Linked DNA regions of Macaca mulatta. The protein of the gene in region 1 interacts with the protein of each later gene in a pairwise test. Links are inferred from orthologs where the notes say so. Each region holds a gene or a part of one and is shown in the gene's direction. Other genes may lie near its edges.

Region 1 (4,808 bases):
ACCAACCTGGGCAAAACATGGTGAGACCTCCCCCACCCCAATCTCTATTGAAAAAAAGAATTTTTTTTTTTTTTTTTTTTCGAGACAGTCTCGCTTTGTCGCCCAGGCTGGAGTGCAGTGGCAGGATCTCGGCTCACTGCAACCTCCATTTCCCGGGGTAAGAGTCTCCTACCTCAGCCTCCTGAGTAGCTGGGATTACAGGCACACACCACCATGTCTAGCCAATTTTTGTATTTTTAGTAGAGATGGGGTTTCACCATGCTGGCCAGGCTGGTCTCAAACTCCTGACTGTGTGAGCTACCTGCCTCAGCCTCCAAAAATGCTGAGATTTACAGGCGTGAGCCACCGTGCCTGGCTGAAAATTTTAAAATTAGCTGGGCATGGTGGCACATCCCTGTAGTCCTCACTACTCAGGAGGCTGCGGTGGGAGAATTGCTTGAGCCCAGGGGTTCGAGGTTGCAGTGAGCCATGATCATGGCACTGCACTCCGGCCTGGACAACAGAGCAAGACCTTGTCTCAAATAAATAAATAAATAAGAAGAAATTTGAAAAATACATATATATTCTTAATAAATTTGTGGTTTTATTGAGTTATTAGAGTCCCATGCCATAGGCCCTTCAAAAGCACATGTCCTCCCAAGAAAACTTTAATTACAGTAACAAGCAGTAAATTGATAAAAGAACCAGAGGGCCAGGGTACACAGGAATTGTTTTATTGTCTTTTCCATGTCTCAGGCATTCTATAATTGTCTACTTCATCCATGTTCTGAAGCTAATTAGTTATTCCATCCCCAGGATAAAGTTAGGCCTCTTAGTTTTAACTTCGTATTTGCAGGTTTGACCTAATTCCTTGCCAGCTCATAATATAATTAAGGTTGGCATTCCTTCTCTTATCCACCCTCCCCACTCCCCGGCCTTCCCTCCCAGCTGTGTGCCTGTTTATCACTAGATGGTGCTAAGACTTGGGTTATAGCTGCCAGAGACTCCAGGAAAGTTGTTTGGGAGCCAAGCAGGCTGGAATTTGAGAACTGGAAGATGCCTTCAGAGCTCATCCGGGCAGCACTTTTGTTTTACAAATGAGGAAACAGAAACTCAGTGAAAATAAGTAATTTGTCAGAGCCCCAGAGATCTCTCCCCTCCTTTTTTTTTCTCTCTTATCTGTTAATAGCTTCCAGTGTTACCTCATCACCCAGGAAGGAGCACAGCTCAGAGAGCAACAAGGTCAGAGTTGCTTTGCAGAAAGCACTTTGGCAGCTGCATGGTACCATTCATTGATTCATTCATTCATTCCAAAAGCAGTTATTGGGTACCTACTTTTTGCTTTGCATGGTGCTATGTTGGGAATAAAAATCAGATGAGAATTCCTAGGATTCTAGGAATTCACATTCTCTTAGGAAATTCAGAAATGCAAAAAAAAAAAAAAAAAAAAAAAAAAAGAAAAGAAAAAAAGAAAAATCACCCCCTAAATCAAAGATGCTATCATAGAGGTGATTATAGGACACTCTGGTCACTTGGAGGAGTTTGCAGCCAGCTGCATTCGTAATTCAAAGGGAAGATTTTGGTGAACTAACATTGGAGGCTGAAGGGCACGTCGGATCTTGTAGGCAGAGGAACAGGAGGAAGGGCAGTCTGGGCAGAGAGCATCATGGGGGAAGGCTTGGAGAGCTAGTGAGGCTTGCTGGAGAGAGCAGCTGATTGTAGCTAATGACCAAAGGGCAGGGTCAAAGGGGCAGGTGGTAATCTGGAAAGGAGGGAACAGACTGGAAAATACTTCATCCAAGGTGTCATGCTTAGGAATCTGTACTTTATCCTGAAGGCTACAGGACAACCCAGTAAAGCGTATTGCTCGGAAAATGGCATGGATGGAGTTTCTTTTCAGGAAGAACACTCTGACAGCTGCATGGAAGCCCAGACACCAGGAAAGCCTCAGATTGGAGGCTGGCGTCCCGGAGCAGTGCGAGGTAAGGGCCTGGCTGGGTTGGGGCAGTGGGAATGGGAGGAGGAGACCTGTTGGAGAGAAATTTCAGGAGCAGGACTGACAACATCTTTTTGAAAAACAGTGATTGGGATTGTAACTAATATTCCTAGAAGATGGTTACCACTCTGGTATTTGAATTACTTATAAAACACTGAAGGGATGAAATTTTAATTGAATACACATATTACTTGGATACAATGTTTGAAATTATTTTAAAAATGCAACTTTATGGCAGTATAGTAATCCTCTCTTATCCACAGTTTTGCTTTCTGAGGTTTCAGTAACCCTCTTGCCTCACTGCAACCTCTACCTCCCAGGTTCAAGTGATTCTCGTGCCACAGCCTCCCAAATAGCTGGGATTACAGGTGCGCACCATCACACCTGGCTGATTTTTGTATTTTTAGTAGAGACAGGGTTTGCCGTGTTGGTTAGGCCCCAAGGTCCAAAAATATTAAATGGAAAATTCCAGAAATAAACAATTCATAAATTCTAAGTTGCATGATGTTCTAAGTAGCTTGATGAAATCTCAGCCAGGCACGGTGGCTCACACCTGTAATCCCAGCACTTTGAGAGACTGAGGCGGGAGGATCATTTGAGCTCAGGAGTTTGAGACCAGCCTGGGCAAGACCCTGTCTGTACTAAAAGAAAAAAAAAAAAGTAGCCATATGTGGTGGTGTGCACCTGTAGTCCCAGCTATTCCAGACAGAAAATTAAAGAACAATAATAATAATAATAAAGGCGCCAAAAAGCTCCCAGGGAGTAGCAGGTAAGCCCAGCTGCCAGAATTCGCTTCCGGAAGCTCATCCTTATTCCTTGATGATCTATATATATGACTGGCTAGTACTTCCACTCCTTCCGCTTGAAAATATTTTACCTGTGGGAAACATTATTGTTATTATTTTTATTATTTTGAGGCAGAGTTTCACTCTGTTGCCCAGGCTGGAGTGCAGTGGCACAATCCTGCCTCACTGCAACCTCCACCTCCCAGGTTCAAGTGATTCTCGTGCCACAGCCTCCCAAGTAGCTGGGATTACAGGTGCACACCATCACGCCCGGCTGATTTTTGTATTTTTAGTAGAGACAGGGTTTTGCCGTGTTGGTTAGGCCGGTCTTGAACTCCTGGCCACAAGTGATCCACCTGCCTTGGCCTCCCATAGTGCTGGGATTACAGGTGTGAGCTACCGCACCTGGCCTAGGAAAGATTATTTTGATCACATGGCTGTCTTCTGGCCTTCTGGCCCTCAGTACCATGGTGCAAATTGTTTTATGATCGTCCCCGGGTAAAGTGGATGCTGGGTCCATCGTCCTTCCTGCCGCCTGCAATACATCCTTGGGAACATCCAGACCAGCCATTTGCCCTGGTCAGCATTGTTTCATTTATGAGATTGGTAATTAACAAATTAATTATCTAAGGTTGCGTGGTGAGAGAGGGAAAGACATTGAGATAGAAGGTTAATAGTGTCAGAGATGTCCTGACCAGAGAGACTCCATCCTGAATAAAGGCTAAGTAAAGCCAATCCTGCTGGGCAGCATTCCCAGGGGGTTGACACTGTTGGTCACAAGATATTTATGGTTGAGGGGATGAGTTAATGATGCTAACTTACCAAATAAAGACCCAGAACTTATGGAAACGTCCCAATATTTCAAGAACAAAAAGCATTCTTAGTTTAAGAATAGATTTTACTTTAAAGATAATAGTACACACATAAATTCTTGTGGAAATCAGTAGTAACATAGGAAAATAACAATACTAATAGCCCGTCACAAGCTGATCAAAAGTCTTTGTAATGAAGTATGCTATTCTTAACAACCTATATAAGCAAGCACTATGTTTAAGGTGAGGCATTCTTGGCCAGGCATGGTGGCTCACGCCTGTAATCCCAGCACTTTGGGAGGCTGAGATGGATGGATCTCTTCAGCTCAGGAGTTGAAGACCAGCCTGGCCAACATGAAAAAACCTTATATTTACAAAAGATACAAAAGTTAGCCAGCCATGGTGGTGTGTACCTGTAACTCAGCTACTTGGGAGTCAGAGGTGGAAGGATTAATTGAGCCTAGGAAATTGAGGCTATAGTAAGCCATGATAGTGCCACTGTACTCCAGCCTCAGTGACAGAGTGAGATCTTGTATCTAAATAAATAAATAAATAAATAAAAATTTTAAAGTAGGGGCATTCCTCCTTTTGCTTTCTGAGGAAGCCCTACTCCATAATAGTCTCTAACAAACTATCTTAACTTTGCTGTACTCTGCAACTTGCCCTGAATTCTTTCCCGAGAAAGTGAGATCTAAGAGCCCACTCTTGGAGTCTGGGACAAGACCCATTTTCTGGTAACAGCAGTGGTAATGAATGAACATATGTAATTTAATTATCATTTGGATATCCAGTTTGATTTTCTTTTTTTAAATTTTTAAAAATTTTTGAGACAGAGTTTCACTCTTGTTGCCCAGGCTGGAGTGCAATGCATGATCTTTGGCTCACTGCCACCTCCTCCTCCCAGGTTCAAGCGATTCTCCTGCCTCAGCCTCCTGAATAGCTGGGATTACAGGCATATGTCACCATGCCCAGCTAATTTTGTATTTTCAGTAGAGATGGGGTTTCGCCACATTGGTCAGGCTGGTCTTGAACTCCTGACTTCAGGTTATCCACCTGCCTCTGCTTCCCAAAGTGCTGGAATTACAGGTGTGAGCCACTGCCCCAGTTTGATTTTCTAAATTTTACTCTGCCTTTATAGAATTTCCTAGGGAGGAATTAAGGGAGCTCCACCTGCCCCGCTTGTTTTTATTTTATTTCATTTTTGAGACAGAGTCTCACTCTGTTGCCCAGGCTGGA
Region 2 (3,416 bases), about 26 Mb from region 1:
AAATAAGATGACAATTAGGAGGAAGATGCTTTGATAATTTAAAGATAGGGTTTATATGTATATATATTTTTTTTGTTCTTGAGACCAAATCTTGCTTTGTTGCCCAGGCAGGAGTGTAGTGGTGGAAGCTCAGCTCACTGCAACCTCTACCCACCAGGTTCAAGTGAGTCTCAAGCCTCAGCCTCCTGCATAGCTGGGATTACAGGCCTATGGCACCAGGCCTGGCAACTTTTTTTTTAAGAGACCAGGTTTTGCCATTTTGGCTAGGCTGGTCTTGAATTTCTGGCCTCAAGTAATCCACCTGCCTCGGCCCCTCAAGACTTCCCAAGTTCTGGGATTACAGGTGTGAACCATCACACGCAGCCACCTGGTTTTGTTTAAATAAAGGTGAAGATTTTAACATGACATTTCAGCTGGGCACAGTGGCTGAAGTTTGCAATCCCAGCAGTTTGGGAAGCCAAGGCGAGAGGACTGCCTGAGCCCAGGAGTTCAAGACCAGCGTGGGGACCATAGCAAGACCCCAGCTCTACTAGGACATTTTTTGAATTAGCCAGGCCAAGTGGTGCACACCTATAGTCCCAGCTACTTGGGAGGCTGAAGTGATTGTGCCACTGCACTCCAGCCTGGGCAACAGAGTGAGACCCTGTCTCAAAAGAAAAACTACATGTCATTGACAAATAGCTATTGGCCACTATAAGAAACCAGGCCTTGTTCCAGGTGGTGGGGGCACCCTGTTGAGTCTCGCTGGAGGACCAGAAAGGTTGAAGGCAGCGGTTGTGTATAGGGGTGGGCTACAGGACTAGGGTGGCCACGGTTGAGCCCCAGCCTCCCTGCCTGTCTGTCTCCTGTTGCAGCATCACTGCCGTGAGGCTCTCGGATGGCTTCACCTTTGTCATCTATGAGTTCTGGGAGACGGAGGAGGCATGGAAGAGGTGAGACACTGGGTCTCCATAGCAGGTGTGGGGGCTGTCTTCCTGGAGCCAGGAGCTCCTGGTGGGTAGAGAGACCCCCCACCACGCTCTTTCCCTGTAGAGCACCTTGTGGGCCAAGGCACTGCCTTCTTTATCACCCTGTAGAGCTGAGGACCTGACCTAGAAGGTACCTCAGTCCCCATGTGATCAGTTGTTCCAGCGCTTAACCTCCCCCCCAGCTGAGTGCCTTGTAGGAGGGAGGGAGATGGGGTAGGGTGTCATCAGCTCTGATGGGCTTTAGGCCTTTGTCGTCTGCTCCAAGCACATCTGGGACAGGTTGTTCCCCACTCTGGGCGGAGCCTAATTTCTGATGCGCCAGACCCCACAGGCAGGAAGCAGGGCCTGGGGGTAGCTCATGCCCCGATATCCTGCTTCCCCGGTAAACACAGTTTGCAGAGAAACTCAGGACCCCTGTGGGAACAGGGGCTGTCATGAGAAGTGAGGGTGTCCCCTGCCTGTCCGTACTTCAGTGACTCATAAAATGAGGGACTAAAACCCTTCACAGCTGCTGTGTTGTCATCCGTCCCAGGCGGAGGATGGCCCCACTCCTCCTCCTAGGGTAAAACAGGAGGTCGATGCTCTGTGCACTGAGTAGGGGGATGCCACTGCCCATGTAAGGCTCAGTGCCTACCCCAGAGTCAGCCTCCCTAGGCACCCCCTCACCTTCCCACAAAGGCTTGGAGTCCAAAGACCCCCCCCCCCGGGCTTATTTATAAGCTCCCCATTTTGGGCAGAGCTAGGATTAACAGGGGATCCACATGCCAAGCTCCACTCCTGGTGCCCCTAACACATCTCCCTGGATCGCAGGCACCTGCAAAGTCCCGTGTGTAAGGCGTTCCGGCACGTCAAGGTGGACACACTGAGCCAGCCTGAGGCCCTCTCCAGGATCTCGGTGCCAGGTAGGGGGCGAAGGCCTGGAACTGCAGTGGCCACTTGATTGGAGAGCCGGGCAAGAGCCTAGAAGCCACCCCGCCTCTCCCAGGGACTTGCCTGCAAGCTCCTGACCCCAATGCCAGGTGTGCAGGGAGGGTCCTAGGGGGAGAGGAGAGCTCCAGGCTCAGAGCCAGCCCTGAGGTGGCCCCACATCCAGGCATGCCGGCCGGAGCTTGCACCAGAGCACCCCTTCCACAGCCCGCTACTTCTAGCCAGACTGAATTTCCCTTCCCAGGTGTGTGGTTTGCTCCTGGGTGACCAGCAAGCACCCGTGGGTCACATAAGGACTCAAAGCCATCTCCCCACCTGCCCTTCAAGACGGCCCCCACCAGCTACCCACATTCGCACTCCTTCCCTCTAACCTGTCTCTGTCCTTCTAGCTGTTTGGTGCACGGTGGGACGGGACTGACAGCCTCCCAGAGGCCCGCGGAGGAGCCCACCCCTGGCCCCTTCTGCTTGTGAAGGACATCCCCTGTGTTCTAGAAACTGGTGCAGAGGCTGTCTTTTCAACCCGTCTTCCACACGGTGTTTCCCTGCTGTGACGTGAAGGAGGCCTCCCCTGCCCCCACCCGAGAAGGCAGAGCAGTCTCTGTGCTGCCCGGTCCTGGTGAAGCCCAAGGTTGTGGGTGAAGGGGGCGGCTTCCTGGGGCCAGCACCCCCACCTCCTGGTCCTGGCCTCTCCCCGACCCCTCAGACGGCCACGCATGACCCGCACTCACCACGCCCTGCCCTCTTCAGTGACATTCTTCTACCTGGTAGGAGTTAGGACCCTGTAGTGCCCAACCTAGCCAGGCCGCCGCCACTGGGCCCAGGCGCCGAATAAACCCTGGTTGGGAAGGGCTGTGTGCTCTGTGTCTGTTCCTGGTTGACAGCAGCAGGGGCCTGGGCACCCTGCAAGTGCCCCCAGCCTCCGTTTTCTGAACCATAAAATGGAGGTGTTCACTCTATGCGGTATTTTGACACATAGGCTCATGCCTATTCAGGAGCCCAGAGGGCACCACCCCCACCCTCAGGTCAGTAATTCACTCAGAGGACTGGGCGCAACTGTCAAAGTCAAGGTGGATGACAGACAAAATCCAGCAAAGAAAGAGGCTCCCGGAACAGGGGCCAGGCAGGGGCTGCCAGTAAAGGCCACAGACATCACTGAACCCTCCCAGCTTCAACAGACAGAGCATCACCAACCAGGGATGCAGTCCCAAGTCTTACTGGGGTTCGGTGACATAGACACGGCTGACACCTTGTGGCTCAAGCCCCCACCATAAGTCACATGGTTGGCACAGACCACGCAGTGTGGCCCAACTAAGACACTCACCAGGCACGATGCTCCAGGGACGGGCGAGTCTCTCCCAGCACAGCTGTGCATCAGCCATTCAACAATGCAGGAGAGCCCGACTATGAACTGCAAGTCACGTCTTAAGTCTTACTCTGAACGCTTTGTAACTTCTTCCTCTGTCTCAGTCCTGGTTAGCAGGAGAGAAGTCACTCACGGCCCAGTGCAGTGGCTCACACCTG
Region 3 (4,873 bases), on another chromosome or scaffold:
TTTTAAGTGAGTTCAGTGCCAGCCTGGACATTGGCTGTACAGACTATTGAGCCATTGTCTGCTCCATTTCCAGAATAGCCCCCAGTTAATCACTTCGGCTTTGAAGGGAATTTCCTCGTGGAATTCTCCACAGAAAATCTAATCAACTGACCTGCCCTCTCAACAATGGAAGGCTTTTTTTTCCTCTCTTTCCCTTATTGGGGCGGGCTCTGTAATGTAGCCTTTTGTGCAGAATGAACCCTCCCAGTAGGAGTGGAGAGCGTGTGTGAGTGACTGAGTGTGTGTGTGTGTGTATGTGTGTGTGCATGCGTGTGTGAAGAATGCACACTATCTCGTGTTGGTGAGTGTGTGCTTACTCCCTGACCAGATGCTGCGGTGCACGGGGCAGCCACCATCTCTGCATGCATGTCTGTGTAAGTGTCTCTCTCTGTGTGTGTATGTGCCTCTGTCATTTCATGTCAAAGGTACATTACCTGATTACCTTTCTCGCCTGCCAGATTTTTATCTAGATAATTGGAACTGCTATGGAGGCTGTGCCTTGCCAGCCAGCTTAGAATCTGTAAAGCCATAGTTTGTCCACCTTGTTATCTGTGGCTGCCTGGGCAGAGGAAATTAAAGAGATCCACAGCCAGGGGAGCGCTTCCTACTCCTGACCTCCCCAGCGATCCCAAACAGGACAGTTTGTTAGTAGCGTCTTTTTGTTGTTATGTTTTGATTTCGTTTTGGGTTTTTGTGCGCTCGTGGGTGTTATTTTGGCATGCGGATACCTATTCCCCTCCACATCGCACATCGTGTTTTATGGAGTTTAGAGCTGAGGAAACTTTGGTTGGGTTGCCAGGACGTTCGCACCACTTTGCGGAAAGCACGATCTAACAGGGAGACGGACAGAGTGAGTGACAAGTTGTTTACAGGTTTCCTTGAAGGGGCCTCTGCTATATTTCAATCTGTCAAAGTTGCTTTTCTTCCCTCAGAACAATGCCCGATTGTTGTGTGTGTGAGTGTGTGTGTGTGTGTGTGTGTGTATGTGTGCGTGTATTTCCGTGTGTGAACGGAGAGAGCCTAGAAAAGGGTGAGAAGGAGTAACAATTCTTTGTGTAAAAATGCTATTGCTAACATTTAAATTTTTTGCTTCATTAGTTAATAAATGCAGTTTAATCGAGCTTCTGTTATTATCTAGACTTGGTTTTTAATCAGCAAATATGTTTTACAAAATCATACTGTTATGCGTGTGTGTGTGTGAGTTTTATGATTCAGAAGACAGAGTATGGGAGACGTGTTAAATGAGTTGACTTCTCACATTCAGTGATGTCTAGAAGAGAGAATTAAAAGGAAAGGACAGGCACCCTGAGGTTGTCTAGAGCCTTGCAGCCGGAGCGTGTGGCTCCGCGGAGGGGGGAGCAGCCAGACCCGGCTGCTGGAAGTGCACTGCCCCTTTAAGAGACTGGTCAAGGAGTCCTAGGAGAGGGAGAGGAGGGAAAGGAGGGGGGGAGAAAGAGGGAGAGAGAGAGACAGAGAGAGAGAGGGAGAGAGAGAGAGAGGGAGGGAGGGGGGGAAGAGAGAGAGAGAAAATCAATTGGTTTAGAAGGTTTGGACTCACTTGACAGGTTCAGTTGGAGACGATCATAGGTGGCTGCTGTGACAAAGGGAAATTGTGCTTTTCCAGCATGCTTACTGACCCTGATTTACCTCAGGAGTTTGAAAGGTGAGTACAGTTTTTTCCCCCTAATATATTGAAGTACAACTCTCCCATTTTACAGTAGTCTCTGAATCATTGGAAGATGCTCCCCCAAAACGTGTTTGTTAGAGAAGCTTTTAGCTTGGGCTTCTGCAGTCTTGTTAGCTGATTTTTTTTTGTTGTGGTTGCCCGGACCAAATTGAACTGATTTGCAAAGTCTCCGGGATTTCTGCTAATGTTTTCAGGTTGCGTCCTGTAACAGCAAATTAAATGAACCTTAAGCATCTCTCTCTCTCCCCAACTCGTTGCTTCTCTCTTTCTCATTCACTCTCTTATTTTCTTCCTTCATTGATTGTTTTCTCCCCACCTTTTAAAAATGCTTTTGTGCAGAATGTTACCATTTTCAGCATCTCGGTCTCATGTAATTTCTAGGGTGACAGAAGGTTTTAGTGGTGCTTTAAACGGAGGCTATAAGTTCCTATTTGATCCTTCCGTAAAACTTTGGAAGCTGCTCAGTAAAGCACATGACCTTTTGTTGATATAAGAGAGCGTTTTTTTTTTTTTTCCTCCAAAGAAAATTTAACATCACCGCTATATTAGATTACTCCATAAGTGTCAAAAATAGGGGGGGAAAGGGGATAAATGGGGCTGTTCCCTTTCTAAGTTTTAGTGACCACTTTTTGTGTTAGCTGTCTTCACTGAATTTTAATTTACTGTATTTTCCCCTTTTGCTATGATGGGAATAGTGTATTTGTAATTAAGTTGTTCCTATTTAGAGAAGTATCTGCAACATCCTTTTATTTGATGTTGTTGCAAGTAAAGCAGGGCTTTGAAAGAATTTTAGCCCTCTTAATGTTCCTATAAGTACACATTGCAATTTTTAAATTTGAGTTCTTATCCCAGCATAAGTTCATTTTTTTGAACTATAAATAGAATTTTGTTTGCCATTAAAAAGAATTCAAACTTTGTATTCTGTATGGTGAATTAAAAAAAAAAAAGCTAAAAAAAGCCAGGATGCATGATACCCAGGCTTTTTTTCATTTTCATGAAAGCTACCTTCTGTATAAACATTTGTTGTATCTGACTATGCAATGCAAGCTAGGTGCTAGACCAGCTGGTTAAAAATATGCTAAGTCAAGCTGTTCATCGCTCAAACGACTGAATTTGATATGAAAAGACGAAAAAAGAAAGGACAAAGATTAAAACATTCTAGAAGTGAAGCAATGGAAGAGAAAAAGAGTATTGAGGATAAAGTAACGCTTGAATGTGGTCACATATTAGAGAAGCCAGTATCAAATCAGGGAAGAAAGTAAAATAGCCAACATATATACTTCAGTGCTGTCATCTTTCTTTGATTTCTTCTGTGTGTTTTTTTGTATAATTAAAGTGCATCTTTACTAGATAATTCCAGCGAATGTTTGAGCTTTCTTTACAGTTTTGAATTAAAATTTTCAGTTCTATATATTAACTCTTTAATTAGTGAGCTTTTATTTGCAAATATAGCCTTATTTCATAGGTAGATGTTGAAGTTATTCATAGTGAAACATACTATACATTACCTAATGTAGCGATTTGCTAATTTAACACAGTTAAGTTTTCTAGAATGCACAGAGTAGCACTTAAATGATAATATTCTTTAATTCTAATTATACTTTTTGCAAATACAACTCTGAGACTGATTTGTAAGCCTGTTAACAGATTGTACTTATAAAAAGGTAGTTACATATTAACAGGCTGCAGCCTATTTCTCTATATAGGCAAGCTTCCTGCTGTGAACTTTATTTGTATTTTTTTTTTCAATTATCTCTTTTTAAACTAAACTTTTCCCTTTCCTATTCTGATGCTCAAATCTGTTAACATCTTTTTTCCTCCTGGTGGGAATTTCATTTTTTTTTTTCACCCAGAGGCATGCTTTTCTAACTAGCTAATTAAATAAGCAAGTGATAATCAATAGGGTTGTTAGTATGACTATCAAATTTAGAAATATTAGTATCTAAAATAATTCTGAAAAATGCCGTACACTATAACGTTCCTTAATAATTTCCCCTGTGGCTGTAATTGGTAATACATACAAAGATGTCAGCAAATCATTACTATTTGTTTACATTGAATTTGTACGGGTGAGTGTCTCTATAGGCAACCATGCATGATACAGTATATCATGTAGACACAATATTGAATATTTGTATTCTCCAAAGGAGGTATTTATGATGTAATGAAACTATCAAATATAATTAGATTTTTTTTTTTTTGCCTTTTCAACTGTTTGCAACTTTCACTGAATAAATAGGTCATTTCTATTGACTGTTAATTTTTATTCTGTTGGATCACTTGCTATAGATGATTTTCCGCTTAAACTTAGAAATCTAAAAGAAGACTGCTAAATTTCTTTGTGAAAAAGAGAACTTTGATCTAGAGAACATAATAAATTGCTTGGGGTTCATGTACTGTAAAAGTTTTATGTGATCATTTTTAACTAATTTCATTGGTAGAGTCTTGTCCATCTTTTATTCTTCCCAGCCTGTAGACTATTTGAACTTTAAGGAATATTCAAAACTTAAATATCAGGATCAAAATTTGGGTTCAGATTTGTATGTGTCTATATTATCATCACTAGAAATGAACATGGTCAGTACTCTCAGACTAACAAGCAGTTATTAAATAGTTAAGAAGTAGTAACAATTTCATTGTTTGTTAAAAATATGCAGGAGGTAGTGCAAATAGAACAGTGATTCTAAAAGGTAAAGAACTTGAAATATTTTTATTTTCAAGCATCCTTGTGATAGACTGATTATGATTACTGAAAAACACAATTCCCAGGTGGGAAGCAAATGGGCGTATATGTTCTAAAGATTATTCGTAAGGAAACTCTTTTACATTTTACCGTTTAGAGAAAACATAGCTGGCAACATGGTCTAAATGTGAGTAATAGCATCATTAGAACGAATGCCCGAAGTTTCCCCAAATATTTAAAAGAAGTCAATAAATGTATATATTTAACTGAAAGTAGATAATGAAAAATTGTGACTTAAGGTTTTCCTTTGAGAATGTCACCTATTTTTTGATATTCCAAGGAAGAAATGAAAATATTTGCCTTAAATGTCAATATTAGTTTGTTCATGATAAGTAAAACAGCCATTTTTGGTAGTTTCTCAATATTCTATTTCTTTCCTTTTTATTTTATCTGTCCTCTTTGGT
Region 4 (4,159 bases), on another chromosome or scaffold:
TTTGAGAAGGTTTAATTTCTAGGAAATGCTAATACTGTACCATGTTTTTGTTTGTACATTCATGTTGTGTAAATGGCACCTGGTACTTTGTCAGGCACTGTGAATGTTACAAAAGTAATAAACAGCCGTTACCCTCAAGTTGTTTAAAGACTGGACAGAAAGATAGGATATAAATAGTCAGCCCTAGGCAAAATGGAGAAGCAGCAATGTCTTCTTTGGCATCCCCAGAGCTATATCCTTTGCTTATGTTATTAAGATGTGAACAGATAATCATGCTGTATAATTGCACGACTTGAGCGAAAACTTAAAGAACTGATCCTGCTTTATCAACCTACTTCTACCATTTCTTTCCCAGGTATACCAATTGGTACTGCCTAAATGAGGCCTGGCCATGGCCACAAGGGGCAAAGTCACTGTCTTAGTTCAGGCTGCTATAACTAAATACCATAAACTGGGTGGCTTAAACAACAGACATTTATTTTTCACAGTTCTGGAGGTTGGTAGTCCAAAATCAGAGTGCCTGCGTATTAATCCATTCTCACACAGCTATAATGAACTACCTAAGACTGGGTAATTTATGAAGAAAAATGATTTAATTGACTCACAGTTCCACAGGCTGTACAGGAGGCATGGTTGGGGAGGCCTTGGGAAACTTATAATCATGGTGGAAGGCAAAGGGGAAGCAAGGCATGTCTTAATGTGGCCAGGAGGAGAGAGAGGGAGAGAGAAAAGCAGGAAGTGATACACACTTACACAGCCAGATCTCATGAGAACTCTGTCAAGAGACAGCACTAGGGGGATGGTACTAAACTACTAGAAACCACCAGGCCAGGCACAGTGGCTCACGCCTGTAGTCCCAGCACTTTGGGAGGCTGAAGCAGGCGGATCACGAGGTCAGGAGTTTGAGACCAGCCTGACCAACATGGTGAAATGCTGTTTCTACTAAAAATTACAAAAAATTATCCGGGCGTGGTGGCATGTGACTGTAATCCCAGCTACTCAGGAGGCTGAGGCAGGAGAATCGCTTGAACCTGGGAGGTAGAGGTTGCAGTGAGCCGAGATCGTGCCACTGCACTCCAGCATGGGCGACAGAACAAGACTCCATCTCAAAACAAAAAAAAAAGAAAAAGAAACTACCCCCATGCCCGCCAGGCCCCTGCTAACACACACACACACTCGGGATCGCAGTTCAATGTGAGATTTGGATGGAGGAGACACAGAGCCAAACCATATCACCCAGCATAATCAGATTCTGGTAAGGGCCCTTCTCCTGGTTCACAGACAGCTGTCTGCTCTTTGTATCCTCAGATGGCAGGGAGAAAGAAAGAGAGAGGAAACAAAATCTCTCATAGCTCTTCTTACAAGGGCACTCATCCCGTTCATGAGAGCTTCACTCTCATGACTTAATTACCTCCCAAAGGCCCCACTTCATAATGCCGTCACATTGGGCTTTAGGCTTGACGTATGCATTTGTTGCGGGGGACACAAACATTCAGTCCTTAACAGTCACTAAATAAGTCCAAGCCCCACCCTCTAAAAAAAACAAGAGAACAAATTTGGCAACTGAATGAATGAAGGAAAAAATATTTCGTGTCAACAAATAGAAAGTACTGGCTACTGCAAAAAAAAAAAAAAAAAAAAAAGGTTGTTTGAAATTCCCTTATTAGTAATAAGTATTTGTTATAAGAGAGACTTTTTATATTTTTAACAGTAAGTGACAAATTCTGTATTTTCCTAGCAAAAATTAGAGATGGTAAAAAAATCCAACATGAATTATTTGACACCTTTTTTTTTGTTTGTTTTCCCTAATAGGTAAAGAATGGATTTACTTTTTTTTTTCTCAGAATGAAGATGTACAAATGAAAGAAGCCCTATTCGTTGTACTTTAAAATGAATAATATTTTTCAATATGTTTGTCTCCCCACTTTTTAAAAGGAATTTAGAGCGAAGTCAAGAGAATGGGACAAGCAAGAGATACTATATCAGACTCATCTGATTTCTTTAGATGCTCAACAAAAATTATTATCTGAGAAGTGTAATCAGTTTCAGGTAAGTTATCTAATACTATTCTCTAAATCAAAAGTAGAAGTTAAATATTGGTATCTTTACCATTCAGCATGTAATCTATTTACAAATAGAAATGCCAACTAAGAAAAAAATCACCAGAGTAGGTCCAAAGGTGGGTACGGTCATAAGTGCATAGAATATCTGTTAATGGTGAATTTAGTCTACATGTCTCAAAGGATGGAGCTATTTAAAAATCCATTGTTATTGTGTCATTAAATACCATATGTTTTTGTATGCCTATAGGCAAGGCACTCAGAGAGTTTAAGATTGCTTGCTTTACTTCGTATTTTCTTGGCTACTTATAAGACGGAGCATCTCCTCATATACTTTTTAGCCTTTCTCAGGTCTTTCTGTGAATTGCCTATTCATAAACTTTGCCCATTTTTCTTTTGTGTTGTTTGCCTTTTCTTATTGATGTGTAGAAGTGTTTGTACATTAGGAATTATTAACTCTGTTACATGCACTGACAACTTTTCCCCTACAATCAAATTGTTTGTTTGTATTTATTTTTGGTTATAGACTTTTTTCAACCATTGTATAATTGAATTCATAGTTTTCTTTTTACACCTTCTAGATTTTTTTTCTTGCTTGATATGGCTTTACTACCACTAACCTCCTTCTCTAGTCTACATCTTTGCTCTGAGGTTATACAAATATATTTTCTCTTTATGCCATCTGAAATTGAAATTTTAAAACAAATACAAGACTGAATTACAAAGACCCAACTTTCATTATCTAGTAACATATTTAAAGATATTCCTACTAATTATTTTCTATCATTCTTGAACTTCATGTAAGCTTAAATATGACATTCTTCATTTGAGTTACACAGTTTTTATGTTTTTCAGAAACAGGCACAAAGTTACCAAACTCAACTAAATGGTAAAAAACAGTGCTTAGAAGACAGCAGCTCTGAAATTCCTCGTTTGATATGTGACCCAGATCCCGATTGTGAAATCGGTGAAAGAGATGAGTTCATTATTGAAAAACTAAAATCAGCTGTAAGTGAGATAGCACTAAGCAGGAATAAATTACAAGATGAAAATCAGAAGCTCTTGCAAGAACTGAAAATGTACCAAAGACAGTGCCAGGTGAAGATTAATTTTTTGTTTTTCAACTAATATTGTCCATGACTTGTGTAAATGGTAACTCAACAGATATAGGGATTAGAATGGTAGTTTTCTATTATTAATATATGTGAAGATTCTGTTAATATTTCCTCTTAGTAATTTGCACTTGATGGGTAGATTCAATAATCCCATAAGTATGTTACCACACTTAGAGTGCACTTTAGTTCAGCAGTGGCATAATAATAATGTATTACAAGTGCAATGTAACAGTGGTCACTTACAAACCTCTATGCCTTTAGCCATGTACTACCCTCTTCCCGCACTATTTTCTGTTACCCTGTGTCTCTTTGACTCAGAAGAATCCTTGGTTAAAGATACAGGAAATCATGAAGGGTTCAACAATCTAGTAACCTCAGTGAGAGCTATGGAGGTGACTCCAGTGATTTATCACTGGTAATGGTATCACAATCATTTATCAAACAGTAACCTAGAATTTATTTTTAGGTAACTTTCACATTGACAAATATGATTGATGATTTAACAAGCATTAATTTTTTTCTCAACTCAGTAATGTTTTCTTCTTTTTGTCTATTTCTTGTAATCATTAGGAAGGTTATACAGCACTCATCAAAATTACCCATTTCTTTACAGAATATATATTTCTTATTCATTAGTACTTGAGACATTCTTTTATCTCCCATTTTAGGTTTTTTCTCTCACCTCCAAATATTCAGCCTCTTTCCATCACTTCCTACATGACAGTTGGCCCATATCTTTTCCCCACTCTATTCCCTGCTCTACCTAACATACGTGATTGAGGTAAGGTCACTGCCTGAGAACTTCCATTTCATCTCCTTGAGATATACCACCCCAAGATCTGTTGCCACTTAAACTCCCAGGGTCATTTCTTAGTCTTGGGCCAACTCCTCATTCCCCCACCTTGCCACATTATATTTGGGATTATATAGGGAGTTAGTCCTTTAACTTCTTTCTCTGCCAGCATCTACTGTTCTATGTTCCTC
Region 5 (4,614 bases), on another chromosome or scaffold:
TGTCTGTTACATTTCCCAGTTGCTTACTGCTGATGTAGACAAAACTATTGATTTTTAGAAACTGATCTTGTACTTGGCAACCTTGCTGAGCTAACATTACTTCTAATACCTTGTTGATTCTGTTAGGCTTTTGATGCTGATGATCATATCTGTAAATATCGCAGACAGGAAGATTTTAGGGACTCTGCCCAGTGCTCTGATCTTTTACATTTAAGCACTTCTACTAGTTGAACTCCAATCTGGTGCCCCAATTCTGACAGTTGGGTGTCTCTCACGGTCCTAAGGGCTAGGCCCCCTATACACTCACAATTTAGAAACTGATGATATTCTACCCCATATCCAGTCCATGTAAAAGCAGTGACCTTGTCTTCTTTTGCTATTTCCTCTAACCGTTTTATCATGGTGGGGGTCCTGAAAGCTGCTGACAGATCTCCATGCTGCTGAGTGTCTGAATTTCTGCATGCTGCTCTATGCAGCCATTCTGGGTGTTTAATGCCCCCAAAGACAGCCTGTGTAGGTTAGCAAAGTAGTGAATCAACACAGGCCTTCAGATCAGACAGACTTAGGTTTGAATCTTATTTCTGCCCCTGGCTACATGGAGCAAGTCACGCAGCCTCCCAGAGTCTGTTTCTTCATTTGTAAAGTGAAGACAAGTAAGCTCTCCATAGGCCAAGTGCCTTTACAGTGGTCAGTGAGTAATGCCCCTTCTCCACACCGTGATGTTGACCAGTAAGTCGATCACCTCCTGACACTGTGGATTATTGCTACACTTTTCAGGAACTTTGTGTCTCCAGATATAATTGAATCTCAGCAGCTACAGTTGGTCCACATCCCCATGTGCCTTCCCACCCCAATGAATAGTTCAAGTTCCAAGTTCTGGCCGCGTATCATTGTCCAGTCTCACTCTTGTTAACTGGGCAATACCTGGTTCTAAAGCTTGTATGTCATGAGATACTCTAGGAAGCATGACTCTAACGAGCACTTGCATTCTTGATGATGGTGTAAAGGAGTAACGTCAGATTTTTGAACAAAGGCCACTAAGTGAGTGGGAGACTCTGGTGGCTTGGTATCCTGGGAATTTGCCTATGTATTCCGGTGTTTGGGTGTAGCAGATAAAGCCAGTGGCCTGACTGGTTCTAACAGAGATCTTTATTATAGCTAATAACAACTCGGCCATGCCTTGTCACTGACTAATAGTGGTATTTCAGAGGGATAATTTAAATCACCAGTAAAAGTGAACTGTATACCTTTGGAAACTTCACCAATAGCTCCTCTGTTACACACAGATCTTTATGACTTTCTGAGGTTCAGTGACAATCGGCCTCATTTATAGGTGCTTGAAGCCAACCAAGGGCAGATTGCCTTTCTTCTTTTAACCAGCTAAAGAGATGGGTGGGTCAGACAAGAAGAGGGTATGATGAAAGCAGGGAAAGGGAGGCGGACTCTTCAGAGGGAGGAGGAAGTATCTGTGTTACACATTATCTCTGAGAGCACTCACAGATGCTGAGCCTGCAGAGACAGAGAAACTGGCAGCTGACCAGGCTTGGGGATGGTCACGTATTTAAATATTGTGGGTTTTAGTCAACAGTGTGCGCCACCCGATTCAACAATGTGATGTGACTGCTCCTAGCAACTATTTTGATATGGTGAATTTTTGTTAACACAAGCATAGGACCTTGAAGAGGTGGCAGTCTCTTTCCTCTCCGCACTTGGCAGGCCACCCACTCATTCCTGATAATCACATTTAAGAGAGCTCTGGACAAGCTGGGATGCATCCAAGAGAATCCCTCAACATGCTGGTGAGTGGGATTGTGACCATGTCATATCAGGAGTAGCTTAAGGGATAGGTAATGCGTGTCTTGGATAAATTGGAGTCAGACTTAAGAATTCCCAGGGCAGAAACAAAATCCAATGATGGGGAGATGCAGGGAGCTGGATTTTAGCTTCTAAGGTAGAAAGAAATTTTCCAAAAGGCTGATCAAAGATTAAATAACTGCCTTAAAAGGTAATGAGCTCCTTGTTACACCGCGAGGTGTTAAACCACCGCTTGGTGGGAAGACACTGTAAGGAGGATTCAGGCAACTGGGAAGGGGGCTTTTCCCAGCCCATGGAATCAATGATTCTAACAGGAAAAGATGCTCTGGGGTGAGGTGAGCGCTTACCTCTGCTCTTGCAGAGACAATGACAGACGTTCGTTCAACATCTGTTCCTGCTAGGCACTGTGCGCACTGAACACAGAAGTACAGCCTCTATGAAGCAGCCGCTGTAGGCCTCAGAGACAGCTGATACGATGTAACTGTTGACTCCATGTTTCAAACCTCGGCCATGGTCTTACTAGGTCTCCTCATTAAGGGGACTTACTATGTATCCAGTAACGCTTTCTTGCTACCAGATGACAGGCTGTCAGAGTTCACGACTTTAGGCGCACAGTTCACCCTGTCAGGTCCTTGGGAGACGGAGAAAGGGGGTCAGGAGAGAAGGTGGGTGAAGAGGCAGCAAAGCCGCAGGAGATATGAACTAAATTGCTCAACGTGGGTGTAGCATGGATTAGGCCTTTTACAGCAAGCCCTGCCAGCAGGGAACTGGTGGATATACTCTCGGCCACACTCAGCTGGACTCCGGGGAGCCCAAGACGGGTAAGACGCGGTCCCTGGCCCGAGCAGCTGGTGGGAGAGCCGCAGGGTGGAGATGTGAGGCCACGAGGCTGAGCGCTGTGAAGGCGGTGGGCACGCACGGCGTGCCGGGGCCGCCTGGCTTCGCAGCGGGGGAGGTAACACTGCGACACCCCGCAGACGCTGCTAGCCGGGGTCTCGGGCCCGCGTGCGCCGGATCTTCTGCCCGTTGGGGAGTGCGGGGGCGCGGGCGCGAGGTGAGCCAGCGCAGGCGCGCACTCCCTCCTCCGTCCCCACCGAGTTCCCGGCGCGTGCGCGGGGCCGAGGCCGAGGCCTGCGCGCCGCCCGGCCGCCTGCACTGCGCGCGCGCCCACCACGCGTGGGAGGCAGCGGGAGGGGCCCGGCGAGGTCCGGAGCGGCGCGGCGGGAGGCTCCGTGGGCGGCCACGGGAGACAGCGCCGGCGGGAGCGCGCCTCTCGGCCTTTCCTCCGCGCCCCCGCGTCCCCAGCCGGCCGCTCCGAGAGGACCCGGAGGAGGCAGGTGGGCCGGGGGCGCGCGGGGCCCCCCGGGCCGCGGGCAGGCAGGCGGCGGGGTCGGGGCCGAGGGTGGGCGGCCCTGGGGGCCCGCGGGGAGGTCGGTGGCCCCGGGAGGGTCTCGCAGAGGCGCTGGGGGCTGTGGAAGCCCCGTGGCCGCCTCCAGTGGGCACCGGTGTCACCGACCGCGGGGAGGCCTTCTCGGGGCAGTGCGGCCCACCCGGCGGGGATGGGGGCTCCTCGTGGCGGTCGCTGACTGATGGCCCAACTTTAGGATGAGGGGCGTGGGGTGTGCGGGACCCGGCGGCGGACCTGGGCTCTGGCCCACGACCCCGCGGCCGCCCCAGTAGTCCCCGCACGCGCAGTGGCTTTCCAACGCGGCCTCTTCCCATTTCTCACTTGACCCCCCTTGCACATTAAATTGTCGAGAAATCTTTGGCCCTTGGGTCTTCAAAATTAAACCAAATGGCTGTCCTTGCAGTCCTTGGCTACCTGAGGTCCCTTAATTCTGAACCAGCCGCACCTGGGAGGGGAAGTTGGAAGGAGCGCTGGAGCTGAGCCCGCATCCTTAAGGATTCCGTTCACGGCTTATGATGGTAGCGCTTTGAATTAGATGTCAGGCTGTTCACGTCATCCAGACGCTGGTTTTCAGCTCTGTTCTGAGACAGTGTTTTGATATAGATCAGAGGATGATGTTCTTACGGAACAGTAACTTGCTGTGTGTTCTGAGATACTAGACTGTGTTCATATTGTAGCACCGTCATCGTGTAAAACGGCACCTTTGAAAGATTTCAGTAAACACCGTCCTCCTTAGGAACATCCGCCAGCACTTAAATTGTACTTCACTTTCACTTTGACGTTTGTTGTTTGTGAATCTTGTGCACAATTTAAAGTGAGTCGTCTAAACAGCACAGGATCGGGTGGTGCGGGGCATGGAGCAACTAGGGAGGAAAGCAGAGACTTGAACCTGGTGGAGTCTAGTTGGTCTGCGTTTTTGTGTTGGAGAACCATCCTGGTTCCAGCTTATTTTGTTATCGTAAATATGATGCATTTTTAAAATGCTTTCATCTGATACGGACTATCTGGACTGTAAGATTGAGTCTTGCTATGCATGGAATGTGTTTACTTCTGTTTTGCAGAAGATTTAGCCCATGGTATACTATTTGTAGGATTCATTTCAGACATTTTGTGTTTACCACATGCAGTCCCACCGGAAAGGGCTTTTAAAAAAGTGACCTGTGTTGTCTTTTATTGCTTATGACAACTCCAATTTTGGCACGTATTTGAAACTAGTGATCTTTATATAAAACCGACTTCACTCTTTCTCCCTGTTCAAACCTACAAACTCTGGTTACTTTTAGGTTTACTGCTCCTTTGTTAATTATTTATAATGAACTATGGAGCTATGGGCTTGCTTTAGTGTGTTAACCATTATTTGTGTCTTGTTTCAGGCATTTGCATATTGTTTT
Region 6 (4,652 bases), on another chromosome or scaffold:
ATGTGTTATTCCTCTTTTCTCAGGGTCCCAAAATAGGTTGCTGGACCTATCAGAAAGTGACATTTTTTACTTACTGCGAGGACAGAAACTTTGTAAAGGAACCTTACAGACCAGCTACCAGGCCAGTCTTTTTAAGAGGCTTTTTTTATTGGTGCTCTAAAGTTAACCTCCATTCTGGTCATACCTAAAAACATGTCATTCCAGTCAAAGCCTTAGTAAAATAACCAGTGTCTCCAATTGTGTTCTATTACCAAAGAAAATAGTTTTTTATTGAAAACTAATGCAAATAATATATTGCCATAAACTGAGAATACTCACAAACAGCTTCCAAGTTCTGGAGAGAGCAGAGAGAAAGGTAAATGCCTCAAAGTTTTGTTCACAAAGGTATATTTTATCTAATGTGTTGTAAGTTAAAAACGGTTCAAAAGGAAAATGTTTTCTTGACTCAGGAAAACAAAACATAAGAGATCATCAATGTTTCAAATAAAAATGTCATAAAAGATCTTTTTATTCCTCTATCAGTTCAGTCCCATGTAGCTAATTCTTGTTCTGTTTGATGTTGGGTTAGCAATTCTCATGCAACTTTTTAATCAGAGCCCTGGAAGACTTTTCCTAGTCTGATGGCATTATCTCCAAAGTTATCAGAAATCTGTGTTTAAGAGTACTGATCAGAGTCCTTTGCATGAAAAGTAATTTGGGTTGTAGCTGATTGGAAAGCTTTTTAGAGAAGAATTCAAAACAATAACTGTGGATTACAAAAACTTAGCCATGGCTAAAACCTGATAAAAGTTGTCAATTGTCAGGAAAATGTAGTTATTTCTATTATATGTAGCATTTTAAGATAACAACCAGAACCATGACTGACAGCATCACATCAGGACCATCTGATTTTTATAATAATATAATCTTAAGAATATTTCTACTAATAATGTATCTACACAAATATAACTTTTAAAAAGATTTAACATATCAAAATTACGACTCATAGCATGTGAGACTTTTATAAACGTATGTAATTTTTAGTACATTTATATCAATAGCGCACCCATAAACATAACCAAAAGAAGATCCAGTATTATTTAGCATTTGATAATGTCTCCCATACAACTTTACCAGATAAATCCTACCAAAGATGTTAAAAGATTCAGAACATTTGATCAAAACGAACTACAGGTCATTTTAAAATAATAGTTATTCATTTAACTAGCATGACAGTCAAAGGACCTCAAAAGTAAGTAACAGAAAGTTACATGGGCGGTTTCCTGGTTATACAAAATAATTCAGACATATCATAAAGCCAAGAGTATAAGATTATATTACATTTGAGGAAAACATTGCTTTTCTAAACTTTAAGATAAATATGTTAGCATTATGCCATAAGAACAGCATTAGGGCTGGGGTAAAAAATTGTAGGAGTTCATGAAAAAGTTGAAGAAGAGTTATCAGACCAGCCAAGCAAAAAGATATGTTTTTTTCAAGGGGAAAAAAACAGAAGATAATGAATGTGATCTGCAACTTATATGTAACAAGGTACAGGAAAAGTTGAACTTCTGAGATATAAATCTGACATTTTAATTTTAGAATTTAAAGTCAATATTTCTTGCAATATCATTGAGAGCAAATCAATACTTCAAAAAATTTTGTGGCTTTAACCAAAATTTTTAGTTTTGTGTTAGTGCATTTTTAATATTACAGCTAATTTTAATAAGACCTTATAAACAAATCTATTCAATCTCAGTTAGTTTTGACTGCAAGATAAGATTTCCGTAAACCTTTTATAACCTCTTCCAATTTGTTATATTTTCATTCTTTAACTTTCTATATTTATTTAGTTTTATCTATAATTTTTTTATTCCTTCAATTTAAAACAATCCTTTAGAACCTCTAAACTAGGCAAAATTACTTGCCCTTAAATGAAAACCATATTCCTGTCTTCTTATGTGTTTACCAAAAACACATCCTATTTTTCTTATACATTTTGCATATAGAATTGTTTCTCTTGTATCTAGTAGTTTCAATTACATATATAAGTCACAATATTAACTCTTAGTAATCCTTATTTTAGGGAAGAACCTAGGAGGTAAGAACTCTTGAATTGTCTGTCATATATCAGTATTTTATAGATAAAATATTATAATTTATGTATTTTAAAACCATTTTTTAACCTTTAGAAACATTTCCTTATACATTTTCTTAATTGGAAGTGACCCAGCTGCTCAGTAAGTATGATAACTTCAAGATTTTCAAAAACATAAGAATTTCATTTATTACGTTTATCTAATTTATTTGTTTTTAACAGTTTATCTAGATTAGTTATGAGAACAGAGATATTAGACAAAGCTGGTCATCATTTTAAGTTTTTTCCTTGTTAACCATTTCACAGCTTGTGAATATCAGGTGTTCACCTAAGTAAGAACTTTGAAGTGAAATACATGGATATTTTGCTGATAAATCAGAGGATTTCATTGTTGTCATTAAACCAACAATATTAGTCTTATTTATCAAAAGAATCACGTAAACAAAGATTATTCTGTTTTGGCTAGGTTTATAATTTCGTGACTTTTGTGCCAAACCTGGACATCTTAAAATAACTAGCAGATGCACATGTCAGCTGACCAGTAAACACAGGCAAAATCACATGCTGACAATTCTGAAGACATATCTATTTTTATTTTATCAATAATTTTAAATTGGTTTTATTTTCCAAAGATTATTAAAGTCACATGAACTTGAAAAGCTTTTGGGCTTATTTATTTAATGTATCAGTACTCTTTTATTTATAAGCTCATTTGATACCATATAGAAACAACACATAACATAATGCATGTATATGCGTAAACGAGACAGTTGGATCAAACTTATTTTCCTGATAAAATTAGAACCTGTTCACATAGCTCAACTTTATTTGCCCTGATGAGCAAAGCAGTTTCCATGGCACTTTGATTTTAAAAGACCTCTTTCATTTTTTTTTTCTTTAGCCAGTAACCTTAAACTAGTAATACCATGAACAGTAAGTTTTATCTCAACACTAGTAAAAAAGTCAGCAGATTCAAAGTAGTCAAGAAGAAAAGACAGGCAAATAACTTAGAAGACTACATGACAACTCTTTAGGGGCAGAAGAAGAAAGAGGGTTTGACTGACATTTTTTCCATGTGCCATTTTTCTTCAGGTTTTCTAGTTTATGGAGTTGCTTTGTTCTAATTGAGTGTGCGGATAAACTACTCTGGAGCTCTCATAAGGCTTCTGCTGGAGCCATCACAGTCTTTAACCTTTGTTAAGCCAAACATTGATACACAGACCAAAAATACAGACAGATCAACAAAAATCAGAACCAGACTAGATTATCTCAGTGGCTGCAGCTTTTTACTATTGCCTTAATTCTTTGTGACTTGAACATACACCAGATTTGGGACTCTAACCTGACCAGAATCCCCCTTGGGTAGGACTCAAACCCACAGTCCTAGACAAGGGTGGGACTCTCATCCATAATCCTAAACCACAGGGTGGGACCTGAACCCACAGTCCTTATGATGAGTTCAAAGACAATTAAAAGTACAGGTATGTATTAACAAGGTACTCACCAGAAAGATGTCTAATCCAGAAGCAATTTCTTTTCCCAAAGGAAAAGTGCCAAGGGAACCTGAAGTGCCATGGTAGAGAAGCAGGAACCCTATAGTTGAGCCTCTGAACGCACTGGTCTAGGTGGCTACTCAGGATCAGTGCAGGGGGCCTGCACACCACTAGGGGCAACAGTACCTTGAACAGGCTGTTCGTCTCACCTGGGGTTCTAGTTTGTTATCAAGCAAAAGGGGCTCACTGCCCAATATGCTAGAAGCCAATACTGACACCAAGTTTTTGAAAAAAAGAAAAGCTTTATATTAAAAGTCACCTCTGAAGGAGGCAGGAGTCAAGCTCAAATTTGTCTCTCTGTGCTGGCATTAAAGCAGTATTTTTATTAGAAAAGGTTCAGGGGGTGGATTCTGAGATTAGCAGGTGATTGGTACAAGGAAAAGGGAGGTCTGGAAAGTCCTTGGGCATGCACAGTTATTTCTTCATGTTAACTCCTGAGTTGCATGTGCAAATTCAGGGGGAATTAGTACAAAACATGTGGTGGAAATTCAGCCTACGACATCAGCAAGCTTATTGTGTGCAAGCTCCAGTCAGCCATTTTGGTTCCAACCAATTTCCGCCAGGTTTTTCTAGATCTCGCAAGTGGAGGGAGTTTCAGCAGCTTAAATTTCTTTTCTTATCTGCTATCCCGAAACTCAAAAATTTCTGTTAGTTACTGATTTCTTACTCTTTGGGACTTTCCATATCTCCCATTTCCATCTACCAATCACCTACTAATCTCGGAATCTACCCCCGGAAACTTTTCTAATAAAAATACTGCCTTAATGTCAGCACCGAGAGACGGGTTTGAGTTTGACTCTTGTCTCCTTGGGAGTTGACTTTGAATATACAAGTTTTTCTTTTTTAAAGAACGTAGTGTTTTAGTATTGGCTTCTATTGCATTGGGCATTAAGCCCCTTCAGCTCTATCACACTAACTCCAGGTAGATAGCATCAGAATGAAATGGAATTGTAGGGCACACAGTTGATGTCAGAGAATTAAGGAATTGAGTAGTGTCAGAAAACACCTCAGACTACACTTTC
Region 7 (4,159 bases), on another chromosome or scaffold:
CCTCTAACCCTGTGTAATGTCATCCCCCAGTTACCTTTCCCTAGAAAGGGGTGAAAGTTGTGCTGGGCACAGTGGGCAAAGAAGTATACATGGAGGGCCGGGGCCCCCTGGGCCAGGTGGCAAAAGGACAATAAGATGGACCAGGCCTTTCTGATGTCAGCCTGGACTGAAAACTGCTGGAGTTCTCAGGCAGGGTCAAGAAATGCTGTTCTGGGTCCTATATAGAAGCTACCTGCTCATCTCTCACCCCTGTACCTACCCCAAAGCCTTGTGTGGACTGGGATTCTAGAGCTTTCTGCCAAGCCCTTGCATTTGGGGTTTGGCACCATCTCCTCTCTGCCCTGATGGGCTGGGTTGCCCAGCCAGTGTCTGCTGAGTGGCCAGATGTCTGCCCACTGCCTGCTTCTCTCGCTGGGGGCTGCATGGGGAGGCCTGGTGTCCCAAGCTGAGGCTAGAGGCTGGCCAGGCTGGGAGACAGCCAGCCCTGATATTATCATAGACCTACAGAGGGCAGAGCCAGGCTGCCTCGCAGTAGCTCGGGGAGGAGATGGTAACCACTGTCATTGTGGAGCCCTTCACGTGTTGTTATCTCATTTATTCCTCACAACAGCCCTGTGAGGTAGGAATTATGAGGATGGTGGTTTTACTCATTTACAGATGAGGAAGTTGGGGCTCAGAGAGGTTACATGATTAGTGCAAAATCACCCAGCTAGTCTATCACAGGGCAAGTCCCACCACTCTGAGAGTCCTGGATGGCTCTGCTTCCGTCCCCCTAGAGAGCCCCCCAAGAGCCCCTGATGCCCTTGAGGACAGGCTTCTGACCCTACTTGCTCCTCTGCCACTCCAGCTCTATTGGATACAGGCTGCATGTTTACGGCAATGGAAGGCCTCCGGGGGTCCCCAACTGACCCTAAATCTGATGAGGGGGTGGTAACTCAAGGTTAAGTGGAAAGAACACTGGCCAGGATTTCAAAGACCTGGATTCCAGTCCTGGCTCTGCTGGTGTGTGGCTGGGGAGAAATAAGCACCACTTTTCCCATCTGTACAACAGATAGATTAAAATTCATGATCCTCTGGGGCTTTCAAAGCTCCACATTCAGCAGTTCCTTCACTAGACCCTCCCCAGCTGCTGGACTGGAACAGGGAAGGACTGGGAATGCCACGTGCAGTGCAAGATTTGGGACTGTAGGGGGCCCCCTTTGCACAAACATCACCAGGACCAATTTGGGATCCGGATCCATGTCGGTAGAGGAACCCTGTGTTGGTAGAGGAACTCTTGGGAGGCCCAGGGCCCTAACTCCACTTAGAACAGAAGCTTAGCTCAGTGACATGAGTGGGTTCTACTTCACGAGTGTCCCTCACTGTGGGACCAGCAGCAGATGCTGGTGTCTGGGGAAAAGGTCTGGAGACCACGTTCTGGCCCCTCGCTGTTGCATGCTCACTCACGGCCTCCCCTGCCCACCCACACCCCATTACTTCCTCTCCTGAGCCTCCTTGGCCCCACAGGGGATCTGACCAAATGATCTTCAGGTCATTCCAGCACAGTCTAGGTTTCCAAAAAGACACCTGCTCATCACATAAGTCAGAAGGGACAGAAGTGGTCTTAACTCCTGAAATATCCAGCATTCTCAACCCAGGGGTCTGTGGCATCCCCCCAGCTCAAGAGTTTCTGCAGTTGCTGAGGCAATGGGATTTGAGCTGGAAGACTGCACGGCTTGGTGGGCTGTGGACGTCGGGTAGCCCCTGCTTGTGTGTTTGAGTCTTTGAATGGCCAGGATGCGCTGATTCCCTGTGTGGCATATAAAAGCCACCTCATCCCTTGCACTCTCACTGAGGCGTGAACACACAGGTGCAAGCAAGCCCGTGTGCACACCTGTGTGCATGTGTGTTTCTCAGCAGCCAGCCTGTCTCTTGTGGAAATGGACTGGGAGCTCTTAGGTTCTGGCCCAGCTAGGGATGGGGAGCGGGTCTGTGGGAGCCCGACACCTGGCAGGGCCCTCTGACAACTACTCTCCTTGTCTTTCAGCCCATGAGGCTCCCAGTCCCCACTGAGTGCGACCCTGAAGGATGTCCCAGCTCTCCTCCACCCTGAAGCGCTACACAGAATCAGCCCGCTACACAGATGCCCACTATTCCAAGTCGGGCTATGGTGCCTATACCCCCTCCTCCTATGGGGCCAACCTGGCTGCCTCCTTACTGGAGAAAGAGAAATTTGGTTTCAAGCCGGTCCCCGCCAGCAGCTTCCTCACCCGTCCCCGTACCTATGGCCCCTCCTCCATCCTGGACTATGACCGGGGCCGCCCCCTGCTGAGACCCAACATCACTGGGGGAGGTAAGCGGGCAGAGAGCCAGACCCGGGGTACTGAGCGGCCTTCAGGCAGTGGCCTCAGTGGGGGCAGTGGATTCCCTTATGGAGTGAGCAACAACTGCCTCAGCTACCTGCCCATGAATGCCTATGACCAGGGGGTGACCCTAACCCAGAAGTCGGACAGCCAATCAGACCTGGCCCGGGATTTCTCCAGCCTCCGGACCTCAGATAACTACCGGATAGACCCCGGGAACCTGGGTCGCAGCCCCATGCTGGCCCGGACGCGCAAGGAGCTCTGCACCCTGCAGGGGCTCTACCAGGCAGCCAGCCGCCCTGAGTACCTGGTGGACTACCTGGAGAACTATGGTCGCAAGGGCAGTGCATCTCAGGTGCCCTCCCAGACCCCTCCTTCACGAGTCCCTGAAATCCTCAGCCCAACCTTCCGACCCATTGGCCGCTACACGCTGTGGGAGAAGGGAAAGGGTCAGGCCCCTGGGCCCAGCCGCTCCAGCTCCCCGGGGAGAGACAGCATGGTGAGTTTACCCTTGGGGACCGGGGATGGGCTGGGGAGGCAGCCACTGTTGCAGAACAGCCAGGCTGAGGGCTTGACTCCCAACCTGACTGATGATTGACGGCAGCCGGTGGCTGCTCCTGGTGGAGACAAACAAGAGAGGTCATCCCAGCACGTCTGGTGCCCCTGGGGCTCCGTGCCGAGGGGAGGGGCTTTCCTGCTCTGCCTAGAAAGCCCACTCAGGGCCTGTGCACTCGAGGACAGTCCAGTAGTGTTCTCAGGAATGCTCCGCTGCCCCCAGTGAACCACTCTTCTCACCTTCTCCTTTTCCATCTGAGATGCCAGTGCCTCCTGCAGGCCCTGCCCCGACCTGGGCTGGATGCGGGGGCCCCAGACCACCAGTGCACCCAGTAGCAGGAGGGCGTCCTTGCTGCGGTTACATCTCCCCTCTTGTGCAGGTTTTATTCCCTAGCCCCGAGGCCTGGCTTTATATTTGGACATAAGACATTAGGGGAAGAGGGACTCTCCTCTGAGTGACACTGGCATGCTCAGGACTAGGGTATCAGACAGCAAGGCTTATCATCTGGCTTTGGAGAAAGTAGTGGAGAAATTTTTATCTAGGGCTTGAGACAATCCAATACCTCTATTCCAGCCCTGCCTCAGCTGGAATGAGAGAAGAGGCTCTGCTGGAGACTGACCAAGGGCTGGCATGGCCTTGCTCGCAACTAATCTCTGAACGCGCCTCTCTTGGGGCACTGATGACATCTGCCTTTCTGTAGTTATTAGTGTGCCCATTAGGTGGCAAGCTCTCAGAGGAGGAAAACGAAATCCTATCTCTAGATCCCCTGCCACGTGCCTCCCACAACGGGAGCTGACCTGCTGATTGCATGGATGAATGGATGGATGGATGGATGGGTGGGTGGTGGGATAGGTGGGTGGGTGGATACATGGGTAGTGGCAGGTGGACAGATGCACAGGCAAGCATATGGACAGAAGGGCTGGGTGCTGTGTCTCCTCCATTACCTTACATACCCCTCCCTACTGCTAGGACAAGTACATTTTGAAAACAACAGCCTGCCACAGCAAGAAATGCTGCTTGGAGGGCTGATCCAGACAAATGCAGCAGGGGTTCAGGACTAGGGGCAGGACCTTGAAGCTTGCATAAGTAAACATCTTGAGAGGGCAACTTTGATAATATTACTTAGGGAGTCTTGGCTTTGCTGTGCCATCTGTGAAGTGGCACAGGAGATAGAAATGCTGGTGCCTCCCAGAACTTTCAGAACCTGACAAGGCAGGGCTGGATCCACTGTAGAAAGGAGTGGAGAAGAGACATGTGTCAC

The links.
Region 2: the proteins of KIFC3 (region 1) and NECAB2 interact in binary tests that used the Homo sapiens proteins (3 or more experiments, as listed by UniProt). The two-hybrid records come from large-scale screens. The link is inferred for Macaca mulatta from reciprocal best matches to the Homo sapiens genes KIFC3 and NECAB2.
Region 3: the proteins of KIFC3 (region 1) and SOX5 interact in binary tests that used the Homo sapiens proteins (3 or more experiments, as listed by UniProt). The two-hybrid records come from large-scale screens. The link is inferred for Macaca mulatta from reciprocal best matches to the Homo sapiens genes KIFC3 and SOX5.
Region 4: the proteins of KIFC3 (region 1) and DEUP1 interact in binary tests that used the Homo sapiens proteins (3 or more experiments, as listed by UniProt). The two-hybrid records come from large-scale screens. The link is inferred for Macaca mulatta from reciprocal best matches to the Homo sapiens genes KIFC3 and DEUP1.
Region 5: the proteins of KIFC3 (region 1) and CLIP4 interact in binary tests that used the Homo sapiens proteins (3 or more experiments, as listed by UniProt). The two-hybrid records come from large-scale screens. The link is inferred for Macaca mulatta from reciprocal best matches to the Homo sapiens genes KIFC3 and CLIP4.
Region 6: the proteins of KIFC3 (region 1) and CBY2 interact in binary tests that used the Homo sapiens proteins (3 or more experiments, as listed by UniProt). The two-hybrid records come from large-scale screens. The link is inferred for Macaca mulatta from reciprocal best matches to the Homo sapiens genes KIFC3 and CBY2.
Region 7: the proteins of KIFC3 (region 1) and USP2 interact in binary tests that used the Homo sapiens proteins (3 or more experiments, as listed by UniProt). The two-hybrid records come from large-scale screens. The link is inferred for Macaca mulatta from reciprocal best matches to the Homo sapiens genes KIFC3 and USP2.

What each region holds. Positions count from the first base shown.
Region 1 is NC_133425.1:53,471,267-53,476,074, reverse strand, and holds the start of KIFC3 (kinesin-like protein KIFC3), read left to right. Parts: upstream 1-1,554; 5' UTR 1,555-1,853; coding exon 1,854-1,961; intron 1,962-4,808. UniProt on the Homo sapiens protein: Minus-end microtubule-dependent motor protein. Involved in apically targeted transport. Required for zonula adherens maintenance.
Region 2 is NC_133425.1:79,363,838-79,367,253, forward strand, and holds the end of NECAB2 (N-terminal EF-hand calcium-binding protein 2), read left to right. Parts: intron 1-854; coding exon 855-932; intron 933-1,778; coding exon 1,779-1,870; intron 1,871-2,284; coding exon 2,285-2,313; 3' UTR 2,314-2,741; downstream 2,742-3,416. UniProt on the Homo sapiens protein: May act as a signaling scaffold protein that senses intracellular calcium.
Region 3 is NC_133416.1:26,282,267-26,287,139, reverse strand, and holds the start of SOX5 (transcription factor SOX-5), read left to right. Parts: upstream 1-1,591; 5' UTR 1,592-1,664; coding exon 1,665-1,702; intron 1,703-4,873.
Region 4 is NC_133419.1:94,210,000-94,214,158, forward strand, and holds part of DEUP1 (deuterosome assembly protein 1), read left to right. Parts: intron 1-1,935; coding exon 1,936-2,049; intron 2,050-2,915; coding exon 2,916-3,158; intron 3,159-4,159. UniProt on the Homo sapiens protein: Key structural component of the deuterosome, a structure that promotes de novo centriole amplification in multiciliated cells.
Region 5 is NC_133418.1:95,855,493-95,860,106, reverse strand, and holds the start of CLIP4 (CAP-Gly domain-containing linker protein 4), read left to right. Parts: upstream 1-1,513; 5' UTR 1,514-1,799; intron 1,800-2,608; exon of another isoform or gene 2,609-2,636; intron 2,637-2,788; exon of another isoform or gene 2,789-2,869; intron 2,870-2,969; exon of another isoform or gene 2,970-3,152; intron 3,153-4,614.
Region 6 is NC_133422.1:24,970,003-24,974,654, forward strand, and holds the start of CBY2 (protein chibby homolog 2), read left to right. Parts: upstream 1-1,419; coding exon 1,420-1,530; intron 1,531-4,652.
Region 7 is NC_133419.1:120,062,044-120,066,202, reverse strand, and holds part of USP2 (ubiquitin carboxyl-terminal hydrolase 2), read left to right. Parts: intron 1-2,026; 5' UTR 2,027-2,067; coding exon 2,068-2,841; intron 2,842-4,159. UniProt on the Homo sapiens protein: Hydrolase that deubiquitinates polyubiquitinated target proteins such as MDM2, MDM4 and CCND1. Isoform 1 and isoform 4 possess both ubiquitin-specific peptidase and isopeptidase activities.